Xenopus tropicalis: one gene and its partner. The protein of the gene in region 2 purifies or fractionates together with the protein of the main gene of each other region. This does not show direct contact. Links are inferred from orthologs where the notes say so. Each region holds a gene or a part of one and is shown on either strand. Other genes may lie near its edges.

Region 1 (3,659 bases), on a different chromosome or scaffold from region 2:
TGGACAGCAGTACGTATGAGATCCGCAGAGTATGGTATGGCAGGACAATTATTCGCTCCTCGTACAAGCTCAGTTATGAGGTGGCACAACAGCTGATGGATGGAGACCTTGAGCCTCTAAATACTGAAATGGAATTGCATCCCCTAAAGCAGGATCCAGTTCGACTGGAGCAGCTCCTGTGGGCAGTGGGCAAGTTGACTGAGGTAGCTCATGCCACCAGGATGCGGAGAGACATGAGTGGAGCTTTAGAACTGGAAGGGGTAGAGGTACGTGTCCAGCTAGGAGAAAAACACAGCATTGATGACCTTGTCCCTAAGCAGCCACTTCAGATGCATGAGACCATTGCAGAGTGTATGATCCTTGCCAATCATTGGGTGGCCAAGAAGATTTGGGAGTGTTACCCTCAGCATGCACTGCTACGCCTTCACCCCCCAGCTCGCCAGGAATTCTTCCAAGAGCTGAAGGAATGTGCAAAGGCCAGAGGATTTTCCATTGATACAAGGTAATATCTATTCTCCAGGTAACCCTTTTGTGATATAGGTTCATTGGATCAAGTCTAGCCAATATCAAATGTGGCTGGATAAGCCAACATCCATTAATTATCAGGGCTTATCAGGAGATTTGAGCAACTGGTCTCACAATTTAATGACGTTCACATCTGTTTGTTTCTCTGACAGATCTAATAAAGCTCTTGCAGATTCACTTGACCAGGCAAATGACCCTTCTGATCCTCTGGTTAACCAGCTGTTGCGAATGATGGCTACACAGGCTATGTCTAATGCCCGGTACTTCTCTACAGGCTCATACACTGAGGATGAGTTCTATCACTATGGTGAATATAACAAACTCTGCATTTGTATAAAGTCTTACTCAAACAGCCAATAACACATTTAGAAATGGAAATGTTTTAAACAGAGTCCCGCATGTTTTTTAACTCACTAGCATTGCTTGAATTAGATTGGATTGGTTTTAATGATGAAGCCTTCAAATGATGTGCCCATTGGTTTGAAAGGATTTTAGCAGATTGATAACTGGTCATATCTATGAAGCATGTATCCTCTTAACTTGTCTATATAGGGTCCCTCTTGTAATCTGATCATCACCTTGAGGGACAAATAGCATCAGCGCAGTTTGGTTTACCAAATTCATCCGATAAGCAGATCTGTTTATTGCTACTTGAATTTTCATTGAACAAAATAGGGTTGGCAGGACCTCCTAAGATAAGTAAAACAAAATAGCTGAACACTGCAATACTGAAATCAAACACAGCATAATAAAAGCAAGAGCTTATATTCCAAGAAAATATTTTGACAAGCACTTGGTATAAATATGTGCTACATTATTCAGATAAATCATTCCAATTTTTTGGTGTTACTGGTCCTTTAAAAATGTTATGAAAGGAACTGGCTTTTTACAAGCCAGGAAGGGTTTGTATAATTTTCTTTATTTTCTAGAATTATTTAGCTGCTATACAGACTTTCCATTTTGGACAGCTTCTGTCATGACATTTATACATTGAGACCGTTGTTGTAAGATGATTGTTCTAAGCAGCAGTGTGCATGTGTATAACTTGCATATCAATGTCTTTTAGGTTTGGCTCTTGAAAAATACACTCACTTTACTTCTCCAATTCGCCGTTATGCTGACATAGTGGTGCATAGGCTGCTCTTGGCCGCTGTTAACAAAGGCCCCAAGGATAATTTGCTTGGAAACAAGGATTTGGAAGAGCTGTGTCGGCACATAAATGTCCGTAACCGGGTAAGTGTACAGTCAAGTGCAAAGGGCAGGACTGGCAATTGGAACATTTCTATTCTGTATTGAAATTCTGTTGCCCAAATTCCATCTAAGCAACAAGGGGCTAGAGCCTTCCCAGAGACAGATATCACAGTGAATCCTAATTTAACTTTCTAGAATTTCAATGAAATATTTTTCAGCCTTATTTAGCATGCAGTTATCCATAGCAACTCTGCAGCAATACAGTTTTGCAAATTAGGTTGTAAAGCACTTTCTATGATGGTACATTCAGGGAGCACACTCGCCAAACCAATTTTGTATGGACCTCATTTTTTGTAGGGAGGAATAATTATGCTGAAACAGAAATGGCCTTTCACAAAATATAGCTAAAAAGTAGAAAGCACAGAATGATCTAGAATGTCATTATAAGGTTTGCTTTCCCTGTAAGAGGGTGCTTTAGCGTAAACCAGGAGAAAAAGACTATTATTTCTCTTCCACTAAGCTTTACAGTCAGCATTATGCATTTAAGCAGGTAGCATCCTCCTGGCACCCATCAAACCCAGACTTATTTGTCATACTGCCAGATGGTGAAGCTCAATTTGTCACTCTAGTGAATGTTTCCATGGGCCGGGGCACTGAGGCTTGGCATTGTGCTTGGTGATGTTAGGCTTGTGTGCAGCTGTTCACCAATGAAAACTAAACGTATTAAGCTCCTGAATACAGTGAGTGTCTGGAAGCCTTTGGCCATTTAGTGGGCAATGACTATCATTTAGCACTAATGTAACAAGAAAGGTGCCAAGTGTCCGTAAAGGGCTAAAAAAGATTTACTATATAATGGGAATATCTGTGACTAATGGATTATGGTTATGAAATCTGCTCTTTACTGCACATAGCTACTTTACCTGACATTACAATGTGTTCCTAAAGTGGCTTTCCTAAAGGTATAGTAAGTTCTTCCTGCAAACACCCTTAGTTTCTCTGCTTGTTAGTTTAGTTTTGTCTGAGAAACTCTCTTGTCCTAAAATACCTGGCTTTTACATTTGCTATCGATTTTCCATGTAAATGTTCAATGGTTGGAGTCAGCGGTATATAAGTGGTTTCCATTAATGCACCCTCTTATACTCCGCAGGCAGCCCAGCATTGCCAGAAACAATCCACTGAGTTGTTCCAGTGCATGTTCTTTAAGGACAAAGATCCTGACTCTGACCAGCGGTGTATTAGTGATGCTGTTATATACGGCATTCGCACAAATGGTGTGCTGCTCTTCCTACCCAGGTAATATATATGGCAACAAACCGATCACTCCAATATGCATGGTTCCTTGTTAGATGTTATTTCAAAACTTAGAATGACTTACCATCAAATTCTTACATTTCATTGAGATGGCCCTCTACTGAGTCACTCTTGTTAGCACTAGAAGTACAATATTTTTACCCATGAGTACATACCCCTCCTTCCTTGGAAGAGTGACAAAAATGAACTAGTCTGAACACTTGAAACAAGTTAGTCCTGGTCTGGATGGGGTGTGTGGTTGTTTCTTAATACTGAGGTTGACAGTATTGTTGCATAAAGGGATATTCCTAGGTTCCTCTGTCTGAACTTTGTATTTAACAAATAGCATATCAAGAGTTAAATTCTCTCATTAGCATTTTGCCTGTCTTTAATTTAAGAACTTGGTAAGATGGAAAGGGCCAGAATCTTCCTAGATTTAATTCTTGGCAAATAATACAAACACTGGCAATATTCTAGGCTAACCATATGAAGCCAGGCCTGTACAAAATTGTGGCACAATGGTGACAGTGTAAACATCTTTCCTCTGCCAGTGTGTGAAACATTGTGAGCAACAGATGGCTAGATATGGGAACAAGTTATAAAGTTATTATTCATGTAAAATCCAGAGAGACGTGTGGTGCAAACAGTGTTGG
Region 2 (3,248 bases):
ATCTAAAACTAAGATTTAAATTATAGGACAAAATCCTAAAATAATAAATTAAAGGATGTTTTGAAAGTAAAAGACAGCAATCGTACGAAAGTGACATCCTAGAAATGCATTCCAAGCAGGGCTGGAACTAGGGGTAGGCAGAAGAGGCACCTGCCTAGGGCGCAATGGTGGCCCCAATGGGGGCGCCAGTTAGCTTCCTCTTCTTTTACCTACCTCTAGTTCCGAACCCTGTTTCCCCACTGCAGCAGCCCTGGCAACCCCACCACCCAGTGTGCAGGCATGTCTTCTCACTTGCGCATGCAAGAGGGGAGGGGAGGGGCAAGCCGACCAGGTTGCCTAGGGCGCCTGGTTGGCTTGTCCCAGTACTGCCCCCAAGGATGTTTTGTATAATTATGTTGGTGCGTATATGTATGTATAACTTTCATTTTTTTTTTTTTTTTTATATATGGTGTAAATGTCTATATGTCTTGATGTTTTTTCCCACACAGCTTTATAAATTATATAAATACATTTTATTTTATAAACATATTTACTGATTTAACCACACGCACACTTTTACACAGTACAAACACGTGCATTTAACCACACACATACATTTTAACACACACGCACACACATACATTTTAGCTCCATTATGCTTGGGTGTATTATATTGAGATACTCATGGGATGGGGGTGCAGTTAAACTCTAAACATAATCTGTTATTGCTGTGAAGGAACAACGGGGACACACTTTAATTCTTCCACTTGTTATCTTATAGTATGTACCAGTGAAAGGAGACCATGTTATTGGAATTGTAACTACAAAATCAGGAGACATATTTAAGGTGGACGTTGGAGGCAGTGAGCAAGCATCATTGTCCTATCTGGCATTTGAAGGTGCAACAAAGAAAAACAGACCAAATGTTAAGGTAAAATGGTTTTCTGAATTTTAGAAATTTATCAATGTAGAACTCTGAGTTAGAAAGAAGTGTCCCATCCACATGCTATCATCATGGTTGTAAAGAGTTAAGGGATAGTTTACCTTTAAATTAAGGTTTAATATGTTGTACACAGTCTTCTAAGTCAGCCATTTTGTGTATTTAAATTGATTGTTATTGTAGCTGTTTGGTTGCTAGGACTTAATTGTCCCAGCAACCAAGCAGCAGTTTGAAAGTCAAAATGAAAAATGAATAGGAAAGATAAGCAATAAAAAAAATAACCATAGGAATTGAACTGCCTCAAGAAACATGGCTTAAGAACTATCAAAACGTCTGTAAAGGGAGCTACAATGTAGCAATAATGCAAAGCTCACTTAAACTATTCCACAGGACCTATTATGTGCCTGATAGACTTTGTCGAATCTACCCTACATCCTCGCCACCTTGCTTCAGGAACTGTACTTCACGAGGCACCATGTGGCACATCTGGTGGACCTGCCCAGTGGTCCAAGAACTGCGGACATTCTTACTAAACTGTTTCACACAAACATTACCCCATGTCCAAAGGTAATGCTTCTAGGACACAAACCACAAAACCTCAATAACCCAGCACAACGCCTTACACAGCACGTATGCATGGCAACAAAGATCCATATCGCAGCCCAATGGAAATCAAACTTATTATATGTTGAAAAGGTCCTGGAAAAAATTTTATATATACACACAAATGAGACTCTCAAATACCAACTGGAAAATGAAACAGAGTTATACCTGCAGATATGGGACACTTGGATACTAAATTAAGACTATGGGTAGCGTCCCTACCCCCAACCTGAGAAAAAATAATAGACAACTGTGGGAAAACGTAAACCAATAACAATGAATATCTCATACCAACACTGAAACACTGAGCGCAAAAAGTTATGTTGATTTCTGTTCTTTCTCTTTCCTTTTTTTTTTATGTTTCTTCCCTTCTCTCCCCTTATCCCCCCCCCCCTTTTTTTTCCCTCTCCCCCTCATATTGCCCTATTATGCACGTAAATATGCAGTTGAATGTAGAAGACTCTCTAAGTCTGATAATGCATCTAGCAAACAATATGCTATGTCTACAAAATATGTTAAAACTAAGAAAAATAAAAGTATACAAAAAAAAAAAAATAACCATAATTAGCCTCAAAGCCATTCTGTTTTTGAATGGATCAATTATTAGATATCATATTTGGATTCAGGCCAGAAAGAAGCAGAATAGAAAAGCTAGAAATGCTAAAACCATGAACAAAAATACAAAAAAATTGGAAAACAAGGAGAACTATACCCCCGGGCTATAAAAGCCCCCTTAACTATCACTGCCTTGACCCCCCTCACCTCTCCCTTACTGCATAGTTTCTAACTTTTAAAAATGTCCCTATCGCTAATCCTAAGCTAAAAGAGCAGAGTAGTGCAGCTGCGTACCTGGCTGACATCTTCCCTGTGAGTGAACAGTCTTCGGGTCTCTCCACCTTGCTTGTGCATACCCAGGGGGTATAGTTCTCCTTTAAAGGGGAACTTCCACATTGAGCTGATAGCCTTAGGGTTATGACCAACCATGGCATTACCTTGCCTTTTGTTTTACCGTTCCCTGGCGTAACCCACAAAAACACATGTATGGCTTGCTTCTTATTGTCATCCGTTTAGAGGATAGGTGTGATTTGTTTGAGAATTTGAAAAACAAAAAAAACGAAATAATTTGTAACTCTTTTAAACAGTTTTCAAATTACAATTACACAGAATCTCCAATGCCTTTAGGTAGTTAAGCAACAGTTGAAGCCCTGAAGACTGTATATCCCTTATGTATATCTTTTACATATGTTGATGAGACAGGTGACTGGACAGTTTGAGTAGGAGATATGTAAAGTGAGTGAAAGTGGAGTAGATGAACAAACTACATAAAATTTCCAGCTCCAGTTAATTTACATTTTTTTCAAAGCAAATCACACAGTAAAAACTGAAAGGTCCAATTAAAGACATTAAACAAACCCAGCATTTTTTTTCCTTCATTCCTAACTGAATTTTTCTTTGTTACAGGTTGGGGATCTTGTGTATGGGCAGTTTATTGTTGCTAATAAAGACATGGAGCCAGAGATGGCTTGCATAGACAGCTCCGGAAAAGCAAACGGGAAGGGTGTCATTGGACAAGATGGACTCATGTTAAAAGTCTCTTTGGGTTTAGTAAGAAAGTAAGCGACATCTTTATTTTCCCTTACGTAGTAAGCGCAAGCTAAAATGCTTGTGGGTATAAACAACTGTAACCTATAATAATTAGTTGAGTCATCTAGAAGGATCTGCTAGT

The links. Proteins that work in one complex are often made in the same cells at the same time.
Region 1: the proteins of exosc3 (region 2) and dis3l purify together in Homo sapiens (affinity purification with mass spectrometry; 6 studies listed by BioGRID and IntAct, counting the BioPlex papers as one, with this or other methods). This does not show direct contact. The link is inferred for Xenopus tropicalis from reciprocal best matches to the Homo sapiens genes EXOSC3 and DIS3L.

Annotation. Positions count from the first base shown.
Region 1 is NC_030679.2:117,124,901-117,128,559, forward strand, and holds part of dis3l (DIS3-like exonuclease 1), read left to right. Parts: coding exon 1-502; intron 503-677; coding exon 678-832; intron 833-1,591; coding exon 1,592-1,758; intron 1,759-2,863; coding exon 2,864-3,009; intron 3,010-3,659. UniProt on the Homo sapiens protein: Catalytic component of the RNA exosome complex which has 3'->5' exoribonuclease activity and participates in a multitude of cellular RNA processing and degradation events.
Region 2 is NC_030677.2:113,704,402-113,707,649, reverse strand, and holds part of exosc3 (exosome complex component RRP40), read left to right. Parts: intron 1-760; coding exon 761-910; intron 911-2,983; coding exon 2,984-3,135; intron 3,136-3,248. UniProt on the Homo sapiens protein: Non-catalytic component of the RNA exosome complex which has 3'->5' exoribonuclease activity and participates in a multitude of cellular RNA processing and degradation events.